Drosophila melanogaster: one gene and its partners. The gene in region 3 interacts genetically with the main gene of each other region. Each region holds a gene or a part of one and is shown on either strand. Other genes may lie near its edges.

The links.
Region 1: of Mmp2 (region 3) and Gyc76C, changing one suppresses a phenotype caused by changing the other (phenotypic suppression), as found in Drosophila melanogaster (one study listed by BioGRID).
Region 2: of Mmp2 (region 3) and Oamb, changing one suppresses a phenotype caused by changing the other (phenotypic suppression), as found in Drosophila melanogaster (one study listed by BioGRID).

What each region holds. Positions count from the first base shown.
Region 1 is NT_037436.4:19,788,277-19,799,128, forward strand, and holds the start of Gyc76C (guanylyl cyclase at 76C), read right to left. Parts: upstream 5,294-10,852; 5' UTR 5,152-5,293; intron 3,335-5,151; exon of another isoform or gene 3,172-3,334; intron 2,766-3,171; exon of another isoform or gene 2,608-2,765; intron 1,979-2,607; 5' UTR 1,688-1,978; intron 1-1,687. Other genes in the region: SREBP (sterol regulatory element binding protein), read left to right, coding at 6,634-8,116, 8,177-8,982, 9,052-9,443, 9,504-9,630, 9,857-10,024, 10,098-10,463. UniProt on the Drosophila melanogaster protein: Guanylate cyclase involved in the production of the second messenger cGMP.
Region 2 is NT_033777.3:20,708,629-20,719,501, forward strand, and holds the start of Oamb (octopamine receptor in mushroom bodies), read right to left. Parts: upstream 5,950-10,873; 5' UTR 5,852-5,949; intron 5,123-5,851; 5' UTR 4,691-5,122; intron 1-4,690. UniProt on the Drosophila melanogaster protein: Receptor for octopamine (OA) which is a neurotransmitter, neurohormone and neuromodulator in invertebrates. Stimulates intracellular accumulation of cAMP and Ca(2+) following ligand binding. Required for ovulation.
Region 3 is NT_033778.4:9,678,527-9,689,006, forward strand, and holds the start of Mmp2 (matrix metalloproteinase 2), read right to left. Parts: upstream 5,333-10,480; 5' UTR 4,407-5,332; coding exon 4,257-4,406; intron 1-4,256. Other genes in the region: Uba1 (ubiquitin activating enzyme 1), read right to left, coding at 10,242-10,480. UniProt on the Drosophila melanogaster protein: Has metalloproteinase activity. Proteolytically cleaves the PGRP-LC receptor; involved in gut-fat body innate immunological communication (GFIC)-mediated activation of the imd/Relish signal transduction pathway.

The DNA of each region.
Region 1 (10,852 bases), on a different chromosome or scaffold from region 3:
GTTTTCCGCCCAATTATTAGCTTAATTCTATTTCAAAACTTTCGTGTATGCCCCGAAGTACATGAAAGCTAATCGCAAGCAAATTGTTTGTTTCAGAGTTTCTGAAAACGATTCTATATTTAAGGTAAAAGTTTAGGGCTGTGTGCGAAAAGCAACCAGAAAAAGACTAAACAAACGCCTCTTAAAATATTTTTTTGTCGGTTTGGTTTTCTTTTTTTGCGGATGCGACGTCGGCCGCGAAGGAAATTATGGGAATAAATGAGAGTGAGAAAATTTGGCAAAAAAAACCGAACTGAATTGTTTATCTAACGAAATTTAGGAATATTTAAATTCGGGCCAAAAAGAATTTTAGGTATATCAGCTTAAAATAATACTTATTACTGAATATCGCTTCAAGGAATCTATTTAAATTAAATGGCTACATTATACTACAGCTAGTATCAGTATAAATCAAATAAAACACTAGTAGCATTCAAATCAAAATTCAATATTTTCCTTTAAGGTTAGTTGTACCTACATTGCGAATTATCTAGGATAAATGGGAAAAAAACAGAAAACACCTGTTCAATCTGAATGGTGGATGACGACGGCTTGGTTGGCTTTGAAGCCAGAAATAGGGAGTCGAACATGTTTATTACTTAATATTTTGCAAGCAAACACCATGGAAATGGGGGAAACATTTGTATTTCTTCGTAAATGTTGACACAGAACAGATACTCAAAAAAAATACGATTCAACGTGCAAGTTGTGGGCATTCTGCGTTTCTGCCAGTTGCCAAAAATAATATGCTGTAAGGTCTCGAGGAAGCTGTCAATTACGACCCACCCACCACCCCACTAGCGCATACACTCCTGTGCAAATAGCGAGCGCCTTCCTATAAATACACAATCTTTATTAATAGAACGCTTTCAGAGATCGAACATTTCAATTTCATTAGCAAACCGAGAATAATGTAAACAAACGAAACACCCAAAAAATGCAGTACGTTCAAGATTTGATTTTTTCTCAATTTCAATTTTTCTTTTCCACACCATAAAAATTTAGTTCGACCAGAAAACGCAAATGAAATTGTTTAGAAAAGACTCCCCGAAGGCTATGTATGTACGTAGAGGCCTGGGGGAAAACGCCTGAAGCCACATCAGCAATTTGAGCACTTCCCCACCGACTTTTAACAGAACAACGATGGGAAAAGCCAACTTGTTGCGGTTCATTGCCGGCATTTTGGTGGCCAACTTTTATCGAACTCTCTCATTCGTTAGGGGTATGGGAAAAGCAGGAAAATTGCGGGAAAATCTGAAGGGGAGCTTGGGTCCCAGCTGAGGTAACCCAAGAGTTTCGGTTTCAATGCAAGTGGCTTTCCCACTGACACCACACACGCATCGGGGTAATTATTTAAATCGGAAATAGCTCGCATTACGGATTACCAAAAAGTATTGGTTTTTGGCAAATAAATTGAAAGCAAAACTGCCGGAGATTAAGTAAACTTTTTCAGCGGTAACCAAAAAATATGATCATGTGATCATTTTAAAACAAAATGTGTAACTATTTTAGTTGTGTTTCTAGTGGTTTCGAAATTTATTTAACAACTATATACACATGTATATGTATGCATATACATATTTACTGGTCATTTCAGTTCCGCGAGATCGTTATAATCTTTCTTGACAAAGATATGAGGCTAACTTACAGGTTGACTGCTCGTTTTGTCATCAGCTTTTGCCAGAGATCGTTCTTCCCTCTCTTTTCTGCCTGCTCATCCGATGTTTTCGCTTCGGATGCCTCCCACGTTGGCGTTTGGATTTACAGTTAGATAAAGTTTTTTGTTTTTCACGATCACGGCGTTTTCCTTTCTATTCTCCTGTTTTTTGTTGGATTTTTGTGCAGTGTTTATTTTTCTAATTGGCTTGCTTTTTGGTTGTTTAACGATTGTTCACTTTGTGCTTTTTGTTATTCCGGTTGCTATTTACTCGCGTTCTCTCTTCGGATGGGAAATATTGTGGTTAATATACATTTAAATTTCGCGTTGTTTTTGTTGTGTTTGCATATGGGCAGAGAGCTAGTGGGAGAGAGTGAATAACTAACTAATGTTTGTAGCGGTAAATTTCACAACAATGCACGCTTAAAGAGCAATCAAAAAGAAGAGAGAAATGCATTGTATTGGGTTCTGGTTCTTAAAGCGCAAAGAGCGAACAAGATTACTGCGAAGAATCTGGAAGAACAATCGAATGCCGAACTGTTCAAATTCTAAGTGTTTGAGTATTATTTTCGGAATTTATAGTCAAATAAGCAAGTTAATATGACAAGGTTCGAGTGTCCAAAATTACACCGCTGTATCAGTAGAGTGGCTTATCAGGGAAACAAAACAAATCTGTTATCTTTGCACTGCTCTCCCTCTCGCTGACTGGCCCGAAAAACAATTATCACAAATTCCAGTTTTCGTTATTTTTTCGATTTTTTCCCCGTATTGTTGTAAAATTTATGGCGCTGCGGCTGCGAACACTCTTGTTAACACATTTGTCGGAATTTGTTTTTCATTCAATAATAATTATTAACACAAACCGCACTGGATTTTATTCGAAATTCTATTCGGCTTTTTACTTTTTTCACCTTTTTCGCACTCTTTGGGTTTTGTTTTTGCCCCAATCCAATCAGAGAAATATATATATTAAACATACATATGTATGCATAATATCTTTTTCTGTGAGTGCGTATGTGTGTGTGCGAGAGTGCGATGGGGCGCACGCGGCTTTGCCGATCCGAAAAAACAACTTGGGGCGCAGGAGAATAGAATAATACTGAAAGCCCCAAACGAAAATCGGGCGAGCGACACCGCATGCTCCCAGAGATGGCACTTTGGCTTTTTTCACTGTGTTAAGGTAGGCATATGAGGACGCTTTATCAAACAATTTTAGTTTCGCTCAGTGTAGGATATCCGAAAGATATCCATCAAGATATATTATCAACACTTTTTTAAAATTTTTAAAACTAGGTTTAAATGGATTAAAAGATAAATAGTCAAATTATATTGAGCAGATACATTTTGGAAAAACATAGTCCTCATTTAAAAATTGCACGATAAAAGGTATAACTAAGTACTATACTAAGAAAAGTAGCGTTGACTGCCACACACTTAGCGGTTTTTGCTATCCGCCAAAGATTTGCTCCTCTCACTTGCCATCACTGATTTCCGTGCTCTCGGAGATGATATGAGAACAGTAATTGACGCTGCCGCTGCGGATCAACATGTGTGTGCTGTAAGAGAGCGGGAGAGCGAAATCAGTTCTCTCGTTCTCCCGCTCGCACACATTCATGCAATGGGCATCTGCAGCGAATTCTATTTTTAAACTTAAATTAATATTGTTCTTTATTTTATCAGCAGCGGCGCGAAAATAAAGCAGGCAGCGTCGGCGTTCGAAGGCGGCTGCTGTGAGGGAGAGGCAACGGGAGCGGCGGCGGAGAGCAGAAAACAAATAAATAACACGAGAAAAACTAGACGCTGCTACTGCTAATCAGGCAGAGAAAAGATATCACTGTCTCCTTCTGTCTCCATCCCTTTCCCACTCTATGCCGCTCTATCGGGTGTGCGAAAAGCGAAGCTCAAATGCTGTCGCAGTGCTAGTGCTCTGTCTCGCTTCGGCTCTCTCCATCTTCTTTGCCCGCTATCACCGCTTGATAAGAAATGCGTTAATCTTTATTAAGCGCTGCCGCTGCTAGTGTGTGCGTGTGTATTGGTGTGTATTCCGCTGAGCTCGTGCGTGTGTGCGTTTGCGGAGTATTTACATGGGAGTTTTTCATTTTCTGCTGACAATTTCCGTTGGAAACTTTTCGCCAAGGAGGTGCTAACACTAGCAAAACTGGCAAAGTCCAAACGGAAAATGTAATTTATGCAGAAAGCCGGAGAAACAGAAGCACAGAGAGTATGAGAACAGTCAGAAGAAGAAATAGAAAAATCGGACCAAATCTACAACAACAGCTTGTTGGATGACTCAATATTGCAGTGAAATAAAGGCTCTTTTGTATCAAGGAAAATAGGAAATGATTAATACAGGAATATTTCCAAGTTGCAAGACAGTTGGTAAATAACAGAGTCATAATCACAGCGTTCGGTAATATATTTAGTTTAACATTAGGTTAAACTAATTTTAGTTATTTTATATTTAGTTTAACATTAGGTTAAACTAATTTATTGAATAAATAAAGTCTGTATATTTGGATTTGAAGCATATCCATATATTACCGAGAATAATAAAATTATGCTGCATCATACATACAATCGGATTTATAAAGATTTTGATAAGCTAAGGTGAAGTAGAAATATAAAAAATAGGATTTAGTAGTGAAATAGTCCTCTTAAGATACTTTTCCTGATGACCGTTGGTTGAATGTTTTCAGTTTAATTTAAATAATAGGCATTTGATATAAATAAGCTTCGTCTATATTGAAAACAATACACCTACACTTAAGGCAACCAAATTTGCAGTTAGTATTTCCAATTGGCGACCGTAAAGGTAAACAAAAATGTAAACTGTTGCAGACAGCAAATGCGGTAAATCGCAAAAATCGTAAATAAATCCTAAGATTGTGCCAAAATAAAACCGTTTTAAAGGTTATTCATAGTAGCAAGTGCAAGTTTGTCGGTCGAAAATGGCAACCCTGGCGAGACAGAGCGAACAAGTGTGAGCAAGAGCATCAGAGAGAGGGCAGAGGAGATCAGTTGTTGTGATAATGCAACGGGTGAAGAAAACAAATGCAAAAAGTTTCTGCGTGTGAGCGCGAAAGTGCGTGAGCGGCGGTCCAAACAAAAACAAAAGCGCGAAGCAAAAATGGTTTTCTTTTTGTTTCAGTTTATGTTCCTATTGTTGTTGGTTGGTAGGTTTTTTTGCTTTTCCAACGACGTGACAAGTGCAAAGAGCGCCAAATTGTACATTTTTATGCATGGGCCGCCAGTGCATTGTGAAACTTTTCCGACTTTGCCTTTATGGCTGTGCATTTGTTTTATCACTGCAGCACTTTTGCCATTGCGATCGTGTGGGTGCCGCTACTTTGTGTGTGTGCATTTGTGTCTGCGTTTTCGAAAGAGCAATTCAGAACGCAATTAACACTGACGGCGCCCATGCTGGTTATCAATTAAATCACATATTCACTTTGTACCATTTTACTAAAAACGAATAAAGAACCTCATCATGTTGCTCTTTCCAAACGGTTATTTCGAATTTACCGCTTCTCTGGCTCCGCGATTCGTCCGCGTTTCCCGTTTTCCGTCGCGACTACCTACCCGATTTTGAATATGTGATGTAGCAGTGTGGCCAGTGCGTTGTGCCAATTTACCGGAACTTTTTGTCTTCAACATTCCTTGGTATTTTTAAGTAATTCTAGCGCGGTCACACGGCTCTGGCGCTCTCTTAATTATTCTCTTGAATGTAGGTAGCGGTGACATCCACCACGCTCAGCGAGGACAACCGCATATTTTAAATTACACTTATACATGTTGAATTTATTTCCTTACTCTGCGTGTCAGAATCAGCGTTGATATTTTATGGCAGTTTTATAAAATACATCATAAACTATTAAATATATATATTTCTATACAGGCATTGTAAGTAATACAGCTGTTTCTTGATGCCAGGGAGTCAAGACCTGAACCAGTTCCTTAGGCCCGAACTACTGCTCGTCATCCCTGAAGAACAAAGTTTACTGCAATCGAAAGCAATTGTTTATTAAGCTGCAAATATACTCGTGAAAAAAATCAAAACAACCATGAACAACAAGTGTTGCAACTATTACTAACTAGTCGCTAGTTTAAAGCAAAGTGCGTTGACATTAACCAGTTATGGAAAAACAAAAGCACACGTGAACTAAGAAAACAGATAGAAGGTGGTAAAGGTGCGTTTCTTTTTCTGCTAATAATGTAGATAGTGTCTAATAGATTAATTTTCGCGGAAATCAGATCGGGAAACCAGTGGAGCCTGGGAAAATGCCCTGTTGGAGCTCCCAAAGGCCAAGTGGCGTCACTAAAAACATCGTATGATCCGGTCGAGCCCTCTGATTGGTTGAAAGCGCTTACGCATGCTTTCCCGGTCGCGTATGTGTGTGTGCAGTGCACAGTGGGCCAAAAGCGAAGTAAAAGCTTAGACCGTTTAAAAATATTCGCCTCTATTGCAATTTGCATTAGTCTAGCAAAACTTGATATAGCCAAAATGATCTCAAGATATTATATTTTGTTCCTATTTTAACTACGAGCAAACAACAAACAAACAAAAACAAGTTAACACATATGCCATTTTCAGGTCCGACTGTGATTCACTTTAGGTTTGAGTACAATTAAAAGATTTATTTTAACTTTGTTACGTATATTACAAATTTAATTATAAAAACCCCTTTTAATCTGTTATTAAAGCTGCAAGTGGCCACTGTGGAAAAAGGGTAATTAAATGAATTAATGTGATTATAAACATATTAATATTTGTTTTTTCCGGCACCAACATACTTGTCCCACTGTTGTTATTGCGCCGCATAGAACTTTAATAAACAATCCTCAAATGTACAAACATACATACATAAATATGCACATACGTGGGCCCGCCAGTATTTAATTACGAACCGTTTTTGTCCCTTTCATCAGCAGCATTCGCAATGGACACGACACTGATGAACTTAATAGACGCTCCGCTGGACGAGTCCATGGATTTGTTCAAAGCGGAGGATGTCTTCGAACCGTTCGACGCCGACCTGCACTCGGACATGCTGGACATCATCCTCAACGACATGGACCTGGCGCCGACGCAGATGTACAACATGCTGCTGGACGAGCCTCGAACGCATACCCAGCAGACGCAGTCCGTGGATCAGCAGCCGCAATCCGTCGAGCAACAGCCGCACGTGAAAAGCGAGCACTCTTCGCCAGTGCACATCAAGGAGGAACTGCATCAGCAGCAACAACAGTCGCCGCTTCTCGTCTACAAACCAGATCCCCTCATAGCCACAAGCTACAATTGTCCCCAGCAACAGCCGACGGGCCTTTTGAAGGCCGCCCAACCAACAGCCACCATACATCACATGGACGCCCAGCGGATGCCGCCGAACACGGCGGTGTATCCCCCATCTCTGGGCAGTAGCTTTGTCTACCAGTCCATGTCCCCGCCCACGTCGCCGGTGGAGTCTGCGAACCAGAATGTCAATGTCATGCAGCCCGTTGCTGCAACTCCTGCTCCCGCTTCTGCTCCTTTGCCCCAGCAGTCGTATCCGCAACCCTTCATTACGTACAACTCTAAGGCCGGAATGACTTCCGATGAAGCCATGTACTTCCTCTTGCAGCCCACGGTAGCCAGTCCAACCCCATCTCCACCTGTGGCTCCACCACCGACAAGCACAGGTAGTCGGGCCAGCAAGGTGCGAGTGGCACCACTGGCTCCGTCACCTGCCGCTATGGAAGTCCAGGGCAAGGTACCTATCAACCGGGTTCAACCCAAGGTGAAGGAAGTAAAGCGCTCGGCCCACAACGCCATCGAGCGGCGCTATCGCACCTCAATCAACGACAAGATTAACGAGTTGAAGAACTTGGTAGTGGGAGAGCAGGCCAAGCTGAACAAGTCCGCAGTGTTGCGGAAATCCATAGACAAGATTCGGGATCTGCAACGCCAGAATCACGATCTGAAGGCAGAGTTGCAGCGCCTGCAGAGGGAGCTAATGGCACGCGACGGCTCCAAGGTGAAGGATTTACTTCAGCTGGGCACTCGGCCTGGTAGAGCATCCAAGAAGCGCCGCGAGAGCTCGCAGACCTTTACCACGGATGCCGGACTGACGCCGCCACGCAGCGATGAATCGGATCCTTCGCTCTCGCCCATGCACTCGGACATCTCGTTGCCGCCATCACCCTATGGTGGATCCACCGCCAGCTGTAGCAGTGGCAGCAGCAGCAGCAATGAAGAACCACTGGTGGTGCCCAGCTCTATGCGCGGCATGGCCACCCACTCTCGCCTCGGACTCTGCATGTTTATGTTCGCCATCCTGGCCGTCAATCCCTTCAAGACCTTTCTCCAGCGCGGCCACTATGACAGTAATGACGATCTTGGCGACATGAGCGGTCAAAGACGCATTCTCTCTTACGACGTGGAAGGTAGCTAGCCTAGCATCCAGATGTTGTTAAATATTGCTAATGGGTTTCTCCTTGATTTAGGTGAAGGTTTTGCTGTCTGGCAGCAGAGTTCCTGGATATGGCTATTGAACTTCACACTGATGCTTGGATGCTTGGTGAAATTGCTGGTTTACGGTGATCCGCAGCTGGACGCGCAAACGGACGCCTACTGCCAGCACAGGCAGCGGGCTGACTTCTATTTTAGCCAAGGACAGTCGTCTCAGGCCTACGCCGGTTACCTCAACTGTCTGCATATGTTTGGATTAAGTCTACCGGCGTCGCGCTTGGAGTGTTACTTGCAGACCACGTGGCAGTTCCTTCGTTTTCTTTTCCATCGCCTCTGGCTGGGTCGGGTGCTGTCACGGCGGTCCGGTGGGCTGTTTAGCAACGCCGCCAGCAGGAAACAGGCGCTGGCATCTGCACGCGAACTGGCCCTGCTCTTCAACCGACTGAATCAATTGCAACTGACTGGAAATGGAAGCCGCGGTGACATGAACGGCATTATGATGGCACTATTCGCAAGCAACATGGCTGAAGTGGCGCACAATCTACTGACACCGCGCGAGACCATCTGCATCCACGTAATGACAGCGTTGCGAATGAAGCGCAGTGCCCCAAAATGGTTGCAACAGCTCTTCGCCCGATACTACATGAGCCGGGCTCGTCAAGAGTGCGGTCTCACTAGGGCCACCGAGCAAACGCAGGAGCTACGTTGGGCATTCACAGCCTATGGATATCGCTACTGCGCCACGCACGTCTTCACGTACGATCTGAGCGACTCCGGCGAGCAGGATGGATTCTTCACACGTCTTAGGAATCCATGTGATCCCGCTGCCCACGTCATTAAGGTAAGTTGGACTGAATTTCTAGTGTATCGCACACAATTCAAAACTAATTGTTTCTTTTCCAATAATCAGCAATATCGAGAGCATTTGCTGTTTAAAGCCATTCAGTGTCTGGTAGGAGCGGGCCACAAATCGGGAGGCCTGCCCACATCTTCTGTCAGCGGAGAGGCGGAACAGTTGCAGCAACAGCAGCACAGCGGCACCATTGTCAGCAATGTTCTTAAGTACACGTCCCTCCTTAAGGACACTCTCTGGGCTGATGAGGATGAGCGGGATACAAACGTGGTGTGGTGGGCCGATGTTTTGGAGACCGCAGTGCACTGGCTCCTTGGTGAAGACACGCTGGCCGAGCAATTGTACGGCAGGATCAAGCAAATGCCCACGCAGCTGCAACAGTGCGGCGAAAACGATCATCTGCCCAAGGCGCTGCATGCTGTGCTGCGAGCTAAGATGATCTTACTAAAGTGAGTAAAACTAGAACAACTAATGAAAAGAACAAAACTAATCATCGCACACCTTTGCAGAAACAATGGCAACGCACTGGACAAAAGTCTCAAGCAATTGGTAAACATCCTCTGCGATGAGTCGAGTGTGGAGCTCCAAGAGTGCTTGACTGTCAACCGGATCACCGACGCCAAGGGTATAAAGCTGGTAAGAATGTGTGCACCCCGAACAATCAGTTTTTGGCGACTGAGTGCCACCAGACTCTTCCTCTGGAGATGACACGAAGGTGCATTGTAGTCGCATTGTCTGTCCCAATTGCTTCAGGCAATACAACTTCAGTGCAAGCTCTGTGCATTTCACATACAACGCCGAATGTCTCTGGCAAAAGTCGCCAAGTTTTAAGAGCGCACTAATCATTATTTCTTCTATGCAGCTTTTCCAGTTGCTTACCTGCGATTGGCTGCTCGAAACTAGGACTGCTCTGTGGGAACTGGAACACATGAATATGGAGGACGATGGCTTCTACCAAGTGCCAGGTGAAGTGCTCGAGAAGTTCCAGACCGATTTGAACTCGTTGCGCAACATTGTGGAGAATATACCGGTATATGCAAATCCTTACCCTTCCAATATGTCTGTTCCGTAACCTGAGCTTGTGTAAACTTTTGCCATTACAGAACGCCCAATCGCGCATATATTTGTACGAGGCAGTTTGTCGCCTGATGGCTGGAGCCTCACCGTGTCCAACGCAACAGCTCTTGGACAGGAGTCTGCGATCACGCAACGCCCACTCGTCCATCTTCTGCGGCAGCAAGGATCGGCGGCAGCAGAACTTCGTGGGCGGAGAGCGGGAACGGGCTTCGGCCATGTACGTGGCCTGCAAGTATCTCCCGCCTGCGCTGCTCAGCTCCCCGGGTGAACGTGCTGGCATGTTAGCCGAGGCGGCCAAGACCCTGGAGAAGGTGGGCGACAAGCGAAAGCTCAAGGAGTGCTACCAGCTGATGAAGTCGCTGGGCAACGGCATTGGCAGCGTGAAGGCTTAGGATAGTAGTGAAGTACATAATAAGTGGCACGAACGTGGTGTGGATTTTCAGCAAATGAATACCCGTTTGCTATTCAAAAGAATTACAAATGCCTAGGTCTTTATAATTACGCTATTCCTCTGTTTTCCACGCCCGGTTATGCTTAGATTGTAATTTTAAAATTATTTAATATGGACATTTTATTTGTTTATTATTTACCGTACTTGTTAAACGTATTTATAACAATAAATATTTTAACAGATTTACAAGGCCTTTTATTGGTTACCGGTGCATGCTCCTAATTTGTTAAATATGTACATAATTCATGGAAAACGTATTAGTAGCGTATGCAATCTTTTTCCTTATATAAAATGAAATATTCTTCCATTCGCGTCGGTCATTTTGCGTCG
Region 2 (10,873 bases), on a different chromosome or scaffold from region 3:
GCGGCCAAAGTCAATGAATAACATCAGCGCAGTAAAGACATTTTCAGGTGTAATAAAAAAGAATATTACTTCTTAACTTGTATTAACAAACGATTGGGTTAATTTGAAAAATATCGCTGAAGAATGCGCTATCATCCCAAATACATTTAAGAAGTATTTTCAAAGTGAACGAGAATTGAAAAATAATATAAAGCATTTACAATCCAATTTTAGTTTCTTCTGGGTTATTGTTTCGAGAAAATATTTAAAAGATTTCAGTAGCACGTTTTTGTTTGAGTAGTTAATGGCGTTCCTGCTCATTGCCGTCCTAAATGTACACAAACCCACCCACACCCATGAAAGCTCGTCTAACAAAAGGTTTTATGTGCCATGCACAACGAAATATAAAAATTTAGACTAAGCCAAACCCTGCTTTTCCCACTTTCCATGTGCAGACCCAATCCTCATCCACAAACCCATCTACATTCTACAATCCCATACCCATTCCCCAACTAGCATGTCAGCCGTTGTCTTGTCTTGCCTTTACATACAAAATTTACTGTGAAAATGCTTTGGGCACTTTGGTTCTCTGTTTGCACACACTCTCGCTGGAATCGTCCTAGTCCGCCACCAGGACCTTCCACACACATATGTACATACATGTGTGTGCATGCAACTTTCCTTTCAAGCCTGGCTGTCTATGTCGCATTATGTTCGTCGGTCGGTTCTGCACATTTGTATTTTAGTTTCGCGCAGCTTTGCGTTTTTTATGAGCGAAATAATTTGTGTTTCTGTTTTATGCTGTCATAAAAGAACGGCCCTGTTGCAGTAAAAAAGGGCTGGAAACTGTGTGCGAATGGATCTAAGGCCCGAATCTATCCACATTTCGCCACGCATGATCAATTAACTAATGAATGCCAGTGAGCTGAATGCATGAACAGCTGCAGGAATTCATTGAGTGGTGGCATGAACGCTCGACTTTTGTCAACACGCACGTAATTGCACACACAAAAGCACACAAAATGCTGCCCCAAAGGCAAGCTGCAAATTAGATTAATTACACAGCCACCACACACACCCAGGAAATCAAATCGGTTTTCAATAGCATTCAGTTCGATTCAACTTGGCGGGGTCAGAGCTCAGAGCTCAGAGCTGAGAAATCGAGCGGTGTTCAATCGGATGAGAGACTATTTCATCTGCCATTTGACATCGAACAAATATATATTGCTGTCTGCCAAACTATGAGTTGTTGCCAATTCGGACTGCCAATCAACATGACAAAACAATTGAAATCAAATCCATAAATTGCTTTGTCAGCACAGAACGCAGAATATAAAAATGAGTTTTATTTTGCATTCGATTGCATTCGATTGCGATGCAATCGCGAATGCGACTTTATCTACGATATGGTTCGAGAGTTGCTGGGCGTTGGAATCCCAAACATGGCTCGTGTCTGGCACTTTGCATGATTCTCGAATGGAATTGGGCCCATTCAGAGTCGTGGAGGTGTGCAATTAATTCAAAAGTGTCTGGCAAAGAAAGTTGCAGTCATTAATTAGCTTTTTAAAATAAACCCATAGACTCTCGCTTTTTAGTTCATTTGGCACGTTTCGGTCGAAAAGGAGAACAAAAAAGAAAATGGCAACTAGAAGAGCCCAAGGACCTGGAGTAAAGCTCATTTCCGTTTTATATTTAAACACTCGAGGGCTAAAATGTTTGCTCTACTATTTCCACGCAGTGCAAAATCAGCATAAAAGGCAGGGAATGAAAAAATAAATAGCCCTGGCCCCAGAGAGTGCCCTCTTCGGTCGATGGACCATGGAACTCGGAGGTGGGAAACGCTTAGCAAGTGGATTTTTAAATTAGTTTGTCGACTCGACGACGACGACGAGGCATCCTACTTCTGCAGATAAAAGCCAAGTCGGTGACTTCAGGCTTGCCAAGTTGGATGGAAGGTCCTTTTTTCGTAAATGGACTTGGCGCGCTTTCGGCGTCGACTCCTTCTTGCTTATTTAAATGAATTAGGTGATTTTTCAAGAGCTAAGCTCGCCACGAGCAGTGAACTCATTTCCGGCCAGTGGCTATTGGCCCTTCATGCTTCATTTGGCCCCCACTTTGTGGCTGCATTGCAATGAGTTGTTAATTTGCAGGCCACTGCGTGCCAATCAAAACTTTTACTAGATCTGACCCTGGGAATTCTTATTGCTACCCACCTAAGCAACAATAATCGTCTTAGGAAAAGCCAAAAAAACACTCTTCGAGCGCGATGCATTGAAAAAGTGCTCCCTGAGTGTTAAGTACATTAAACAGATACGTACTCTGCATGTATAAGGCTCAATTTTTGGCAGAATCAGGGTCGACATGCCGCATACGCAATATCGTGCGTTTGCCGCAGTTTTCTTGTCGCCCGTCTGTTCCTACATGTGCCCCATTACGCATACGACGCGTGAGCCAGGCGGCAGGTAGTGAGGTGAGAAATTCGCAATAAAGCTGCAAAGTGGCACGAAGAAGCACACGCTTAAATAAGTGCGAGTCGAGGATTGAAAGTGAAAGGGTACCTCCTGCACATTTCGCCTCGTTTTATTGCCGGGTTATTGTTATTTAATGCCAAGTTTAATGCCAACACACACACACACACAGAAAGTGGAAGCAAGCACCTAAAACAATCTCATGCCCGCCCCATTAATATATTTCAACTGGTTTGGTTTGTTTTATATTATTTTGTTTTGCTTTACTTCCAAGTACGTGTGGGCTTCCCCTGCATTTCGGGCCGAGTGGCAAGTCATTTGCTTCGCTGGTTGCACAATTCTATGTTGACGCTCTTTTGTGTTCGACTTGGCCAAAGAATCTCAGGTTTCGGTGGCTTATGCACGTAGCTTGCCATTGTTGTGCCCGCTGGACAAGGAAGCAATTTGAATGCCTTTACAGAGCGCTGCACAAAGCACAGAATTATGTTTACGTCCAGCTCGGCTGCCACTTGGGGCAGAGCTCTCACTTCAAATTTCCCAGTTCCCAGTTCGCACTGCTTCCTGTTTCCAGCTCCCTGTGCTTGGCCAGGCGTGAAGATTTCCATAGCTGGACACACGGGCACTGTTTTAGAAGTGCTTTCAATACCATGGTCAAAATGGGAATGTCCATAGAGTTTTTAGCGTACCATTTTTCGAAACAAATGAATAAATGATTTTTTAGTTATCAATGGAGCTTTTAATAATAATACTTTTATGAGAAATTCCATTATAAAATAATATTTTCGTTTTACTTAATTAATAATTTATTTTAGACATAAAATATACTGCTTTAATGCAACGTACTTTTCTATTTATCTGCAACATGGCCCAAGAATTTGTTTTAAGTGTACTCTGATAGTAAAATGGAACAAGATGGTGAGCTAATGCGTTTTATCTGCTCAAAAGGACGTAGCTCTATAAAGTAATGAGAGACTCACGATGAAATGCATACAACAATAAAAATGTTGTATTTTAAAGTATCTTTATTTCAAAACGCTTATACTTAGGCTTACTATCAGTTAAAGCGACGGGTTTGGGAAAGCTGGCTAATTAATGCCTCCGAGTCGTGACTTTAGCCGCATATAGGGATGTCTGAGTGGCATTAAATAAAAGTCGGGCTGACTGGAATTTCACACTTAAAGTTGAAATAAATGGGGATCCATTTGAAAACCTAATTTATTACTACATTTCCCAGCCGTTCGGCTGGCAACCCATCCTTCCGTCGGCCAGTCTGTCCGTGTTATTGGGCCGGGCTGTCCATTGTGACCCTGTCAAAACAACTTCCATTGTTTGCCCCCATTTCACCTGTCAACTGGCCTTTGTGTCTGCTAAGCTTCACACTTGGTGGGGGAAAACTCGGAAGATGGGCGAAGGAACTCTTGCCGAGTGGTAGATGGGTCGCACTTTGGTTTCCATTGTCAACAAGCCAGCCAATTTAGTTAATTAGGCTACCGAAAGTGAATAAACAAAATCTGTAACCAAAGGCGGTCAACAGCCACGTGCTAAGCCCTGTGCAAAAAAAAAAATAAAAATAAAAACAAAATAAAAAAGCGAAATAAAATAAAACCGCAAAAATGCACAAAACACTTGACGAATTTTTTCGTTTTGCTTCGTAATTTGTATGCCGCGCGCCTTTTCCCCCCAAACTAATTGCGTCGTCGCCTTCGGAGATGTTGATATGGGTTTGTAATTAACTGAGACTATGGATTTATGGCCAGTACTGTTTGGCACTAATACCCATTCTCATTGCCCAAACATTGCTTTGGGGTTTCTGCTGGTACCGATTCATTATTTGGGTGCAAATATCTCGAATACAACTTGTAGATCCCCTGATCAGCAAACAAAATGAACATATGCAAGCATAAGAAATGCATTAATATAATGAGTTGCGCTGTTATAATAAATCAATTTTAACGCCTTAAAGCTTCTAATCTATTAATAGAGTTTTTTTGTCCACTACTAAGTAAGTATTATTTTATAAAATAGGAGAAGCTACTGGTATAGTAAAAAGTCTATGACTGAATATATATTTGAACAGGTTAATGATAGTTTTATTACCAAATGGTTTTAAAATATAATTTTGTATTGCCTCAAATATTGTAGTTGAAATAAATGATTTTCAGAGATTTGAATTAAATATTCAAACTTACAATATCTACAATTAGTTGAACTTCGAAAAGTGTCATAAACTCGAGCAGACTCACCTGCATAAATCATCGCGATGTCGATGGCGGTTGTGATCTGAGTTTTCTGGGCGAGATTAGCGAGAGCCCGTCACCGAATCGCTTGGAAAATCGGTCAAGTTTTTGTTTGTTGCTGGTTTTCCGATGCACTTGCTGGCGTTAACCGGCTCACCAGATAGCTATATATTTTCAAAAGCTATTGCTATATCGACTTGTTGCCCCGGGTCTCGTGTGCTCTCGCTCTCTTTGGCCAATTAATTGGTTGTCATGCGTTGAATAATTGCACGCATTTTGCCTAAAATCTCCATACTCAGCATTTGGTTTTCGATATTCACTACTCAGTTTTGCAGTGCTTAAGTTTTAAGTGTTTAGTTTTCAGTGCTTGGTGGTTTGTTGATCTTTTCGATTGGGCGTGACTAGGCCGGGTTTTGTGAAATTAATAGTTTGTTTGCGCTAGAATTTGATTGAAATATGTTTTATTTGTTAATTGCATGGATTGGCAACGGCAACATTGCACTGGCAATTTATGGCAAACCAATTATTTGCTGTCATTACTCAAGCAGAGCAGACACAAAGGCGAAGGAAATGCAGTTCTGATCTGCTGACTGACATCATCTATAAACAGAAATATTTATTTTTGCATATATGCTAATGTCACAGCGGGACAATTATGAAAATTGCACTTTGTCAATGCTATGTTTGTTTCGGCGACAGCAAGGAAAATTGTTTGCTAATGAGCGAAATTACGAAATGGAACGAAAGCGAGCGATTTGATTAGGCGAAACTAGCACGGCGCTGAAGAAAACCCCATTAAATCACATAAGACACATTCACACTCGTCTCACACTCGCGAATTCATTATGAATGCACTCACTCGCTCGTCGCGCTTATTGCGAATTTTAATATTTCGGTTTTTTGGCCAAAAGGCACGTAGCTGCCTCGAGCTTTAGTTTTGGTTATCAATCAGCTGTAATTATAACTTCAATATATGGCTAACATCCTTTTGCTTCGATCGAGGACTCAACAGGAACTGAGTTCGCAAAATGGTGCAAAACAGCTGTTGTTCGCGATCACGAGCACTCGGACTCGCACTCGGCGCTTCGGCAACTCACACACACGCACAAGGGCACACACCCACACAGCGCACCCTTACACTAACACCCACGCAACACTGTTAGCTACCGTTATGTGCCGTCGGCAAGAACCGTTAGTTCTGGCCAGTTTTCTCCGCTCGTTCGAATTGGCACGACCGACGCGGCAGAATTTTCAACACGAACTGAATTTTCAGCGCGAACTGTGCGTTCGAAATTGTTCGTTCCGGAACGAATGGAAAGATGGAAACGTTGGAGATTGGAACATTAAAACTTGAAACAGCAGGAAGAGAAACAGCGCTCGGTAGAAAAGCAGAATTTGTTGAACAGCGCGCAACAGTCGCTTGGAAATAAAATCGCATGCGATATTTGCTGTAAGAGCCAAGACGTCTGATTAATTATAATCCCTTGATTCTCCTAATCTGCATTCGCCTGCAGCCAGTTTGAAATTCCCTTTGATTTGCGACGCTTTCTGGCTTGTTAACCTTTCGGCCAGACAAACAGCCAGTTGGCCATGGCAAATAAAAGAAGCCACGCATAATAAATTGGTAAATTCGGAGCAGTCAAAAGGATGGCTGGACTGCTAGAAAAAAAGGACACACACTTGCCCCTTTTTTGATGGGCATCCGCTCAGCCTTATTCTGATTGTACCATCCGCTGATATTTCTAGCAATTTCATTTTACGACAAAGTTGGTCGACTTCAATTTGCCCAATTTTCCATTAGAGCTGCGAGGTATTTTTTGTATTTTTTTTTTACGATTTTTCGCCAAGTATTTGGCTTACAATCCCGCCATGACCAATACTCTATTCAAAACTCATTATGAAGCTCCATTGAAATCTTGAAAGCTGAGTAAGTGGCGGGCACTTGCCATGAAAGAGCTGTTGCGGTCATTATTCACTTGATTTCTGACCGTTTAATCGACTCACATTCCAACTTTTATCTTACTGACCTTTTGGCCCCGTTTAGTCTAGCCCAGTAATAATGATAAATGAAAAGAGAACGCCTCGGGCTCATCCCCAAAACTCCTGCCAACCTCCACTGGCATGTGTGTGTTTGTATCGTCTCTAATTAGGATAAACAGATGTTGCCCAAAAATTAATTACACATCACGAGCACTGAACAGCCGCCTAGTTTCCTTTCCCAACTGCTCATTAGTCCTTGGGACTCGTGATCAATATGACCGCCATCATAGTAATTATATCCTTTCGCTGTCTTTCTGCTACAACTACTGTATCTATATCCTGCTTCCATTTCCTGGCGGTCTGCAAATCTCACTTGGCGAGAAACACAGATGCCTTGCAGCACGTTTAACTTGGATTTGCATAACTAGATGAACAGATGAATTCACAGGACCTCGTTATTTTCTGCTTTTTCTGTTCTCGCGGAGATTCCACTTTCTTACCTCCATGACTAAAATTTAAACCATGAATAGATAGAGAAAACACAATGATTTCTGCGGCAGAATCTGTTGTTATTTTTAGCCCTTCAGGATCCTGCATTTGGCTCGGGATTTTTCAGGAATTCCGGTTGGGTCTGCAACGCATTTCATTCTTCAACCAAATCGGATTTGCAAAATTTCCATCGTCTGGCCAGATAAAAGATGCGAAATCAATTTGCAGGCAGAATCGAACAAAGGAATGGGCTGACGTGGCCCTATGTGAAAGCTGGAAGCCCGGGTATCCCGCAGCTTTCAGAGTTCCTCACTGGGAAGTGCCCGAAACTAAGCTCCGGCGTCAGATTGCGCCTTCTGTCAGTCAAAGGCAAACACCTGTAATAAATATTCGTTTGTTGTCTTTCGTTCGCTTCGCTCGCTCGGTTATCCTGGATTTCTCCTGGCGCTGCGCTGTCACAGATACATTTTGTCTGCTTTTCCGTGTGAGCGCACAAGGCAACGGCGGAAAGAGCCGGAAAAGAATGCCTAGCTGGTAAGTTTTTATACATTTTCAGTTGAGTTCAGTTCAGTTCAGTTTAGCCGGCTCTGCCCAGCCGCCCCTTGAATTTTTATGCGGGCCATAAAGAAAAAGCTGTAGGAACGATGCTAACAGCCTGGCCCAAGCACTTGACGAGGATGCTGGCGTTGGCTGGTTGGTTCAGTGGCCACTTTCGGGCTCCCGCACTCCAGAAGCAATTCACTCAGCCATTTATGTCCGCACAAGTTGCCTCAATACGCAGCCATAAATGCACGGAGCGCAGCTTCTGTTGCTTCTGATGCACTTAATTTAAGCCAAGAGCACAAGGATGCACCAAGTGTTACATTTTGCGCCCAGCTGAGCGCACAGCGGGTGTTATTAATTGCGTAATTTGTTTATTAATACACAAGTGCACATGCGGCACCAGCACCTGCTGGTGTTTAAGGATTCACCCGTCCGCTGGCCAAAGTCTGGGGCTTCAACCCATTCGGAGAAAATTGCCTTTCCTCATTGCTTATTCAGGCAATCAGGAGATGTTTGCCCTTCTCTCCAGCCCATCGTGTAATCAAATTAAATCTCAACTGCATAAACTTTGCGGGGAACTGTTTGACTTACAATTAAATTGTACTCCGCCCTTAAAGGCGGCATAAATCAATTTTTATATGCCAGCTCCGCGCCCTCCGTCTTGATTTCTAGTCCTGGTTGCCTGGCTGTTAATTGCACACACAGAGAGTTCTAATGGCAAACACGAGCTAGAGTTTTTAGTCGGCAAAGGCGGAGATGTTATTAAATTATAATTACCAGCGTCTTATTAGCACAATTAGTGGCGGGGGGGGGGGGGTGGGGTTTCAAAACCACAGGACGTATTTTCCAGGACAAAGGACATATTTTCCAGCTTGTCTGGCCTGGAAGACTGCGTCGGTTAGGTTCACTGCTCGATGACAGACAGAAGACAGACTGTCACATGGAAACCAGACGAGATGTGTCAGGACATAAAACCAATCAATCAATGATCTATTTCAAGACAATATTCAACTCGTTTGCGGCGCGATGCTATTACAAATAGCCAAGCAAATGGATTTATTGCCGCCGCAACAAACGCAAATGGAGAAAGGCATTCTGCATACCGCACTACTTAATCAAAGTCAATGCATAAAATGAATGCATAAACAACTCGGGCATATCTCCAGCATCGTGGCAGTGGGAGCTGCCCATATTGCGCATACGTCACGTGCGCCCCGAGTTGCATGCGTAATATTGCCTAGCTGCTGGATCGACTCCTGCATTGCCCACGGCACATCGATGATTACCATACTAAGTTGGTCGCTGAACACACCTGCATCCTGCGTTTTCCATTCCGCATCCTGCTACCTGCAGGTGGCAGCACTCACTTAACACTCCCACACGTCTGAGCACTATCATCGCGGCACAGGATTCAATTGCAGCCGCTGCCTGATGCAAACGCAACAGCAGTCTCGAAACCAACAAGAGTTTTTAAAGAAAAATGCTCCTAGTAGCGGAGTGTTTGTCGTTTGGACTTATTCATACCCTATCTGAAAACTGATTCATAAACCAAGTTGTATGGTCACTACAAACTATTATAATGCTATATACTTGATAACATGATTTAAGAACCTTACTTAATTCTTCAAATTCCACAGAGAACGAGATAATGTACTATATAAGCAATGTATAAAATATTTCAGAATCTTAACTGAAAATACATTTTTATCATGCCTCATTCAAATATCCCTGAAAATACCCCTCAGCTGGCGTATAACTCGTTGAGTGCATTAGATGAATATTAAAAGCACTCGCCAGCAGCAGCACTTGAAACTTAAAAGTGAACGGCAAGCGGACAGGTCCTTGTCCAGGACCTGCACTCGCCAATAACATCAACGTCGAGCAGCAGCATCATGGTGCGTTGCATAATTTATTGTTATGCAATCAATCGGGGCAGCTACGTTGAGAAGGCAACAAATGGAGCCTGCTTTTCCACCACTCACTCAGCCTGGCCGAGTGACTCTGATGGACTCGCCCGAAAGGCCATAAATTAAACATATTTGTTAGCGTATAATCCATGTAATCAAATTACGTTTGCACAACCTGTTTGCACGTATTCTGTGGCTTCTGTGGCCAGGTATGTTGGATTCCGACAAGACCAACCAAACAGTTCCTGGCTAATTTGTGCTGCGTAATTTCCATTTTCATTTTCATTTCCATTTCCCCCCGCCCGAGTGTGGCTCATAATCTGCAGATGAGAATGCGAACAATGCCGCATTAAGTGGCAGTGTCAGCGAAACGGCCTGGTTAACCTGCCATCGCCAAACGGAGCCACAATGTCGGTCAACTAGAGACCACCCGAGAGAGCTGCCCAGCTCTGGTTTTGATTGCCCGTTCAAAACCTCAACGGGCATAATTTCATCGCCTGCCGCATACAGAGCTGAAATGGCGATGTTTATATTTTAAGGACATTTTCGTCCTTCTCGGCACCTGTTGCTACATCCGCCGAATTGGGGTGCCCTTTGGTAATCAAGCCCTGCGACAAACACAATTCATTTAAGCGCACAAAAGGGACCAAGGACACTGGCATAAGCATGATACGCAGACAAGGACAAGCGACGGACAACCGACCGCTTTTTGGCCAACTTCCGGTGGCTCTGAAAGGGAAGGAAGGATATAATTAATTTCGTTAAGGTCGCATTAGCAATCTCACCTTGAAGAAAAGGGTAATCAAGTAAGCCAAAAAGCGAGCCCTAACATTGCTGCCTCCGTCAAATCTCCGATTGCACTTCAGGCCAACTCGTCGACGTTCCACATCCGCCATGGTGTCCCGTTCCTCGACGGCTGGAAGTTAGCAGACATATTGCATGAATAATTGCGCACAAGCTGCTGCTGCTCGGGCTGCATTCATCCATCCCCGAGTGAAACGGAACAAGCCAAGCAAATTAAAATCTTAGCAACAAAAGCGAAAAGTCAAAATGTTTGTTAGACAAATAAATTCAACACTTCACGCATATTTTCATAAGCTGCCAGACCAGCACACATATGACTACACTGACAAAAAGTGTGAGGAAAACAAAGCCGTACTATTGTTAGATTTATTAAAATGTATTAAATATTAAATATCAATATCTCAATCAATATTTTGAAACTGTTACTTCATATTTTACTGTTGTTTTTTATAACTAATTGAGATAT
Region 3 (10,480 bases):
CTGACAAATTACCTTACAAAAATGTTAATTTATTCGAGAGAAACGTCACGGCGTCGTGTCGACGATTCGAGCGGAAATATCTGTTATTGTAATTGATAATATCATTAATGTGGAGCTCAATTTATTAAAATTCCACCCTGTTTTTTTTCCCCGGCTTTTGAAACAGCACTGAATCAGCAGCTTTGACTTGACTTAATGTGCTTGATCGTCGACAGTTAATTAATAGCGGCAAATTTAATCTGTTCCAAGTTGGATCTGACTCGATTCACTCCCTCGTTGTTCCTGCGTCCGATTATCGCGTATGGAGTTGGCATTTAAAAATTATTCGATCCGATCTGGCTACGGCTATATACATACGGATACATATACTATATGACTGTTACCGCTCGATGCACTCAACTGGCGCTTCAAGAATTGTCATAAGCCTATTAAGAGGCCGTTTTTTTTTTTTTGTTTTCGTCAGAGACTTGGGGGTGCCCTTTCCTTTACTTCTTGAGTGTGTCATAAAAGTAATGCCACCGATCGGGGTGGGTATAAATTTCGAGCTGGCGACTGGCTCTCCTACCAGGAAGCCGTAAAACAATCAACGAAAATGCTCAGAATGACTTCCATCAGCTGCAACTGCGTTAATTGCATTCCGAAAATGAGGAATTTGGTGGGTCTGACAATGGATCAATTAAAAATGAGTAATAAAGCGTATAAATGCACTGTGTGAATTGCCTTAAATGGCTACATAAATAAGGATTGTGCATTATTTGCAGGGATTCTGGGGAAGATACAGTCTCCGATTCTCACTGCACATATTCCATATCTGGAAAAGCCTTCGTTAATCATACAATTTTCAACATATTCCAACTTGACTTGGGCGATGCGATTTATCAAGCAGAATTACACTCAACATGGGTTTTTTGCTGAAGAAATCTGCTAAAGGGTTATCAAGTAATTATCGAGTCGAGAAGAAATTATTTAAAGGCATAGTATAAAAATATAATAAATTGTATGTTTTGTCAGTTGCCAGTCGTCGGAAATATTCGAAAAATTTAAAGAGTTCTTTCACGCATTCAAAATGAATCATGGAAATGTTTCGATCACTTTCATTTCCTATGAAGAACAGGAAACACCTGTTCTTGTCACTGACCAAAATTTCATTGTGCTTTCCTTCGCTGAACTCATTGGAAAACTACCCTTGAGTGGCAGAAAGACCTCGGCCGCAAATAGCAATTACAAATACAAACACGAAAGTGGAAAGTCCCCAAAGTCTGCGGATGACAACCCTTCCTTCCATAGTTGCACCAATTAGAATTTTGCGAAACTCCAAAGAAAATAGCAACAGTTTGCTCACTCGTCATTCCCTTCCTTTTGTCCCTGCCCCAGTGGCAGTGGCAGTGGCAGCGGCAACTTGCACATACATCTTGGCAGGCCCTCCTTTCCCTCAGACAGATATATCCACATTTATGTACATATATGTATATGTATGTACGCTACTGCATGGCGACATGCAAATGTGTGTGGTTGTGCGCCAGCAGATAAGTTAACTTCACTTCACTTTCTATATGTGTATGTATGTACATTTTCCGGACTACTTCCGTTGGGGCATGCAACCGCGGAGCAGCGCCGTGCCGTGACCCTGCCACCCGCCGCCCACCGTCCTTTCTGCTATCTAAGGGCTTACAACTCGCCACCCTAAGAACAAGTCGACTGAAAGCACTTGGAAAAATCGGGTCCTTCAGTATCTCGTTATATTGTTCCTTAAGTCCTTATAAGCAGCAAGACTTTTATTAATATCAAATATAAACATTTTAAAATAATTATTTAGATGTCAGATGAATTTACTCATAAACGGAATTGATATTCTTTGACATGTGATGTTAAGCTCTAAACAAGGTATTTGTGATCCCGCTAGCTACATTATCCCTGAACTGAATTATCATAATTAGTTATTTTGCTTAATTACTGCTTTAGCCAATTGGGTTTGATATTGTTTTACACCTGGGATAATCAATAATCAACAACCATATTGACCTGCATTTTCTCTCCGTGTACGGCATCTTGCACTTCGTCTTGGCTCCATTTCCATCATTTATTTGATTACACGCCACTCATAAGCGTGAATGCGTGAGTGTATGCGAGCCATCCGGAGAGTGTGTGTGTGTGTACGGGTGTACGAGTACGTTTATTGAACCGACTTCATGGCATCGCCTAGCTGGCGACACTCAGGCGAACTCAACCCAGTAAAGATTCAACTCAACTCAACTTAACTCGCCGACTTGTCCGCTCGTTCGGTTCTTTTCTTTTTAGTTCCTCTCATATCGCAGCTATATATAGTGCTCCATATATGCATATGCATATACCTATCTCTATATGGCATATGTTCGCTCATCCAACGGGCAGCTGGGAAGCGGTATCCTTACTAAATAAACAATATGCAAGTCGTTCAAGACCTCGACCCAAGTACTGTTTCAGGGATACTCTCTCAATCTTATTCATTACTCTAGGAGTATTCAAACTATAGGTAATATAATATTTATATTATATTATTTAAAAATTTAGTAGAATCCAAGGATCCCACTAGAAATTCTAAAATAATATTCGACATATATTTTCAGCATGAACATTTATTGCAGCATGCGATTTTAGAGCTCTGTTGTTTATACATTCATGAGAAAATCCATACAATCTTCGGTGCCTACCATCTGTGGTACAGAGCTTATGTGCGTCCTACTTAGTTCCAGTTCTTATATTTTCCGCAAACGCTTCAGAACTTTAATTACGGCTTTCGAACTTTAATAAACGCCAAGATTTGGCCCAGCCACACGAGGAGAATCGCATCAATGGCTGGCTGTACATTAATAGTTCATCCTGGCCGGCACGCATGTCTGGAGCTGGTGAGTCAGTGGCGCGGGTTCAATGTCCTGGCGCGCCTTAAAGAATGCCACCGCGACTCCTTGGCACACGAGCAACAAAAACAAAAGGCGAGCATAATGGGTAAATTGCTCATATTTTGTTATTCTGATTAAAAAAAATGCGCCCGCTCTCATTAACTGCAGAAATTCGCGAGGAAATGTCCTAGTGGCCAGGGCTCCACATGGGCAGCGGCGATGTAGTAAGGGTTGTGGGTGGAGGGGGCTGGGGGTAAAGATGGAGGCAGACCCACAAATGCATTAAGAGCCATAGGACGCATGCCCCCAAACAATAAGCGTGCATTGTGCACTACGAACTGCAGTGGCCATACCCGAGACTACTGGGGGCCCTCATCTCGTGGCGTCTGTATGCACACACATGTACAGTGCGTTTCGAACGAGTAAGGCGGACTTCGTTCGTTCAGTGAAGTGAGTTGCATACTGGTGTATTCTTCCGCGTAATAAAAATCAGAAGTTAATGAGAAACTTGGAATCTCTTTTTTTCCATGTATTATAAGTCATCATCCTTTACCATTTCGCTTATATCACGGTTTCCAGAAATGCCAATCAAGTTGTTTTTGAAGTTACTTAACACAGGTTGATACTGGACCTTTGTTTAAACATTTTACGGAAACAGATTAATCTACTAAGCACACAACATGCAAATATTTAAAAGTAAATTATACCTTCCTAACTTACAGTTAGATATATAACTACGTCTCGTGCTGTCTATGCATATGTAGAGCATTTTGGGATTTTGAGGTCATAGGCTCGAGCAGCCACAGCAGCATCTGCATCGTGGAGTGAGGGGGAGGGGGGGATATGTGTGCTGGGGGCCTTCAGATCCGTCTATCTCGATTGTACTTAACCCGCCTCTCGATTTACTGTCTGCTACCAAATGCGGAGATACGGATTGAGTATCTGAGCCGCCGGAATGAAAATGCGCCTACTGTAGGCTAATTTTGTTTTCCTTTGTCCCCTTTCTAATTTACCTTCTTGCTCTTTAACTTCCTATTTACATTGTTTAATTATTTATGTCACATTCAATAATTGCTTTTACAATTTTTATTGCAAACATTGTGCGATTTCCAACAGCTCTAGGGATTCAAATGTCAATTATTGATGAATTTTTATTGAAATGGCAATTGGGTCAAACAGTGCTTAAGCATTTACCATCAGATATATGTAGGATGATTGATTGCATTGCGTTTTATTTTGGGGAATTATTTTCATTTCAGTCGATGCACTTTGTATAAACACCCAAATTTACTAACTTGATCGATACGATATATCATCTTATAGAGCTTAAAAAAGCTGGGTTCGGAAAAATCGAAGTTTTCAAATTTGGAGCCTTACCATTATATCCTCGGAGATAGCGGTTTTTGCCTTCTTGGACCTGGTCGCAGCGGTGGAGTGAGATCCTTCGGGTGGGAGGGACAGCTCCTGGATGCACATGGATTGCGCAAAGAGTGCGAGCAGGGTGGCGAGAACATATTTGGAAAACATTTCGCCGCTCTCTTTCGCTCGCGCAACGAAAACACTTGGACACGAAACTATTCCTCGATCAGTAGGAACAAAACTGTGTATTTATCTTTATTCTATGTTCGAGGCTTAATTAACCGATGTGGTGGACTAACAATTCGTAGTGCTAAGCTGGGAATTGAACTTTTCACTTTTGTTTTAGTTTCGCTGCTGTTGTTGTTTTTGCTATTGTTGTCGCCTCGGCCGCGGGGGTTGACACAGACACACATGCGCATTGGCGGCACTCACACGAATACCCGGCAGCATAAATACAGCTGCAGCAGCAACAAAAACAACGGAAGGAGCGATGGGTTGTGGCGGGGAGCGGTGGGGATTGGGCGGGGGTATTCCCGTTTTTCCGTTTGGCGCTTCTTGTTCTGGCGTTTTGTGCTTGCCGCTTTGTTGTGGCCACTGCTTCTTTCCTTGGCTTTCCTTTCTCTCTGTGCCTTCCGCCCTTTTGCGCTCTTTTACATATGACGCATACGAATGGTGGGAAAACAAGGAGCTGGGGGCGTTGAGTTGGGTTGGGCTGGATAGAATTTAAATTTGGTGTGTATAGAATGCACACTATAGAATGCCACTTGGCCACAAAAACACAATTAATTAGCACGCAGTGGCTGCACAAAGGAAAGACTTTCCTTGTTCATCCGTTTTTTAGTATATGCCCGATACCAACACCGATTCCCGATTCGCGTTACCCGATTCCTGTCAACCGTTACGTCGCTTTGTTCACCCCACAAAAGAAAACGCTAGAAGTGGGCGGTGCTCTTTTATTCGCGTGTTTTGTGCAAGCATAAATCTCAATTTCTCCTTTTTACATTTATTTGTTTCTGTCGAATTCGAAATAAAAAATCTCGTTATACCGCCGAAAGCGGGTTTACCGCGCGGATGTCTAAATGTGACTGAACTGCTGACTTGCCTCGACGTGAAGCGACTTGAAGAGGCGGGCACAAAGAGCACAAAAATACAGAGTAGCTTCTCTTCATTTGGGCGGATATGCCAGCGATCGCGGTTGATTTATGAAAATACGTAAGAGTAGAAGAAACTCGCTCTTGTCTCACGCTCTTAAGGGGGCACAGAAAGAAAAAGCACGAATTCCAAGAGGCTCTAAAGGATTTTAAAAAATTATTTTAAATTAGGCAGCAAAAAACATTTTTTTTTTCGTAATAATCTTTTTAAATTCTGAGCCTATAACTTTGTTCATCCGTATTTGTATAGTTTTTTATTTAGAGATCTGAAATCCAATGTATTTAAAATTTCCTTTTTACATATGAAAGAATTATATTAAAACTGAAAGTACAAACACCGTGGTCAAAGACATTTATGTATTTTCCACTTTGTTATTATATTTGACTCATAAAAAAGTAATTTAATTAATTTAATTTAATTTAAACTTAAATCGGTAGCAGTATATAAATTATTGCTACATTCATTATAATTTTATACCATATACTCTTATGATTTGATTTTTGGTATTTTATTGTAAAACAATAATAAACAAAATTTTTTTTAAATAGTATAATAGCTTCAAATATTTCAAATTATGTTGGTCTGTGTGACTTTGGGTAGGTTCTTTTCTTAAGTGTATATTAATATTTCTCTCTGCTCTTCGATATTAATATTTTTTGGCTACTTTATACTCTTCGATTTTGGCTACCTAAAAAGTGTCAGTCTAACACGTTTCCGCCAAGTTGGGACATTTGCCTATTGCACAATAAACACAAGGCAGATGGCGTTAAATATTGATTGATCGAGTAGTTCCATGAAAAAGGAAACTAAAATCTAAAAAATAATGAATCGATATGAGTTAGCTACATTTGATTTCTAATATTTATGAATAAGTATGAATACACCCACACCCTCGAAAATAAAAAACCCAGATCAAAAAAAAAAAAGCCCATATATTCTTGGGTACTTGTTATCATATACTGCAGAGTATTATTCACCAAGCCGGTTATATTTTTGAATGAATCAAAATACGAATGTTAGCCGCTGCCGGTTACTCAACGTAGTATTCGAAAGGATGATTATCTTTTTCCATTCACAATCTTTTGGAAATCCCAAATAGTCATTGATAATGCTCTTGCATAAGCAGCCTTGATATATCCAATATCAATGTCCACTTAAACTCAATTTACTGTCACTTAATCATAGCCAATCTAGAACCGCAGTAGATCTAGTCCCTTGATGAGTCGAAATGCTATAAAATCTATAAATGATTGTTTTGAAAATGTATATGTTCTGCGATAAATGCAAGTTTATCATAAATATATAACCCCCACGGGGTAAGAGATAGTAAAATCATATTTTGGTATTATCACATTCAAATGTATTTCATTTCGAAACATGATCGTTTAGTGGCGTGCACCACTGTATGTACACACAGATATCCGAAACAACTTGCCGGCAATTTCTGAACTTAGACTGAGGTCTTGGGTTCAAGTGCTAATTGGCCACGAAATTGAATGCAAAACCGATTTTTGATCTGCGGCTGACCCAAATAAAGTACAAATGACAAAATTACTGATGATACATGGTCGGGCCATCGAAAGGTGAGTAATTTTCGAAGTTGCGACATCAATATATATAAAATCGTCTTATCAGTTCGATGTTGTTACACCTATTACTCAATGGTAGTTTTGATAGAAAAGGCAGACCCATGGTCAGGAGCGAGAAAGCAGTTATCGGAAGCTTCCAGCGGAAGGAAACACAAGATAGTGCGGCTCGGTGTGAGCGTTCCGAGAGGTTAGTAACTCTTCAATGATTCACTGCATCATTGCACTATCTTTCTTGTTTACTGGCTTTCGCTACAACTGCTGATAGCCGTATCTTTATCGTTAGCTTAAGTACTTCCATACCCCTTGAGCTGGTCGGGAGTATCGAAACAGTCGCCGATTTAAGATCAGCGGGTGCAAGTTCGTGACATATTCATTATGGACTTCGTACGACTACGAATATGGGTATGGGTATGGGTATCTTCGCTGTGTGGGTGGTGGCATGAACGTCTGGCCGATATGGCGACACTTATTTATTTACAAGCGTGCCTACAAATGAATGGAGTTCCTGTAACTACACTGGAAACTTAATGTTATACTTCAAATCAAATCAATAAATGAAAATGTTACCTGTATAATTGAAAAATGTAATTGCTTATTTCAAGGCTGGCCAAAATGCAGTTGTTAACTGTATGCTTTTTAAGAACTTACCTTAACACTCTATATACAACCGTTGTTTTCAATGTATCCAGGAGTGAGTGGCGTATGCCATTGAACAATGACTCAATTTGAGGTGTATCGGCTCGGCTGCTCTAATATGGAAGTGCGCCACTGGTCGGACATGCGATTTACATACTACCATTTCTCAAACGTGCGAAATCGAACACGCTCCTCCGCAGGCAGGAAATCAAAGCAATTACTAATTGTGTTTTACACAGCCCCAAACTTTCTCAGAGTGACGCACACCGGAATGCGACTTATGGCCAAGTGGGCAGGAAATGCCAGCCCATTTGACCTTCCCCCATCCCCATCCGCAGGCAGATGTAAATGTGTCCGAGTAATTAATTAAAATATGCATCCAGTGCATGCGATTCTCCGCTTTCCCTGGACACGTGCATTGCTCTCGTCTCGCCTTGATGTGTCCATCTGGGAGTGATTTCCATTTAGCAGGTCCATTAATCACTTTTGGAGTTTGGCTCATTATCGCTCTGAAAGTGTCACACGGCCAAGCGGATATTTATTGAATGCATTCAGTCAATGGCAAGAGAAAACAAGCAATTAATATAGAAACAAGTGCATATTAAAATTCCGTATCCGATTTGAATAAAAATATGCCAAGCTGTCAACCGGAAAGCCAAAAAATGGCATACTTTGCGCATTTGCCAACAGGTTGTATTGGGCATCAAACAAAAGATTTTCATTTTAGGACGCCGCTGCTCGCAGTCTTTATGCCCTATCCCAAATTTAACAAATTTTGGGAATTTAACAACGAGCTTTTAGCTTGATGAGCAGTCGAGATAAGAGCGAAATTCGGTGTACAATTTACGAGTATTGTTCTGAAACTCTTCTTTTTTTACACCTGAAAGCGGTCATGGATGAGTGGTTCACAAAAAAAAAAAAAAAAAAAACAAAAAAAAGACGACAGAAGAGCTCCCCAGTGACACTCTTTTTCCCGTGAGTCAACAGCCTCTGGTTTTTTTTGGCGCTAGGCAGATGTTCGTACCAAAAGCTGACGCACTCTATACGTAAGAGCGGGGAGATTTAAATCTATGGGCTCATCCCCGCGAATCACGCAAAATACGCAGTCGCAACAAAGAAAGCATTTTAATGGGCACATATGTACGTAATGCACATATGAATGTACGATCGAAAAATGTACATGTAAGTCTTTACATTTCAGTGATTCAGAAGTCCAGCTTAACAAAACCAATAGAACGAAATGAATAATATGGAATAATATTTGGATTACTCTTTTCATAAAACAAAATTGTCTGTTCATTTTTGAGAAACTAATCTTAAAAAACATAAAAATGTACTGTAATGTGGTGTTAGAACAGGAATATTCATATTCTAAATCTCTTGTGGTACTCCTGTAATGTATCTCTAATTTTCCCAGCTCTATTTGAAAACTTAGTCACCTACTTTCACCTCAAATTTAGATAGGTATTAATCTTAATTCTGACCCAGCATTTCCACTTTGCCTTGTAAATAGTTTGTTCACTCATCTTTTTAAAGTAAGCTCTAAGTAATAAGACGATCTTATATGTAAATCTTAAATACTTAGATGCTAACAATCAGAGCCCTAAGGAGTCGAACTACAAACCCAAAACTTTGATTACCCTGCCCAGAACACACTTATTCGACGGATACAAAGCTGATCGGCGCAGCCACTTTCCTCGCCTCGCTTTGTTTTCATTAACTGCATAATTCAAGCAAGTTTGCCAAAAAGCCGCAAAAGGCCAAGAGTGAGATGCGAAACTGCATAACTTTGGCCATACTTCAGTTGCATTGCGTGTAATATTTAATTATAAGAGGACGCCGCCACTCCGCCCAACGCTTTCCATGAGCGGTGCAACTTTACGGCACTTGCCAATTGCACTTTGGTGGCAGCAGCCTCCTTGGGTGCGGGGCGGGGGTGGTATAAACGTCTTGAGAGGGCATAAAATATTTAATTGTGTCACGTAACTTTCTGAAACTGACTGGCGTACGGATAGATGGCATCCCCTATATACTTCACTGGCAGAGCAGTATGCATTACAATTTTAATTTCCGAAGTGGCGGGGGAAATGAGATTACCAGACGTCAAGTGCTGAACGAAATTATCTGAGTCGTCTAGCAGGTCGATTACCATATGAAATATACAGCTTTATTCATTTGCTTTACTCCTTTTAATACAATGACGTAATTAGTTTATGCTTCCATATAAAAAAAATATATGAGTGAAGAGAAATTTTCCGCCTGGCTCATTCAGTTTTCAATTTCCAATTAATCAATGCGATTAAAATCCGCCTTCGGTTTTTCGTAATTCGTTACCTTTACAACTATGCTGAGCAGAGAGTTTCATCAGATGCATTTTAAGTGTTGCTTTTAGTCGAGTCTTTGTATTTCGTATGATGCGTATTATTTTGCCATTCCTTAGAGGATTCACACACATTTTATATAATTTCTAGATCTGGGCTGCTCTCGTAATGGTGTTGTGAAAATTAAAATGCAAACAGCTAGACAGTAACTCCTTCGTTGGAGCTGCGCGATTCCAAAACGCGTCGCCGACAACAAAACGGGATCGTAAAATAATTTAATGGTTAAATTAGGAATATAGACGGGCTTAGGGCAGCGTGTAACGGACGTAGGGCACCTCCACATCCTCGCCATCCACATCGTTGCAGCAGATCTCGAAAACCAGGGATCGCTCGTGTGGCTCCAGGCGACGCTTGGACACGCGACGCACGACCTCCGACATCGGCAACGGCAGTCTCTCAGAGCACTTGGCCTTGGGCATGAAGAACGAGTACAGCATGGACACGCCCTGCGAGAGCATGGTGATCTTAAGCTTCTCATTCTCCT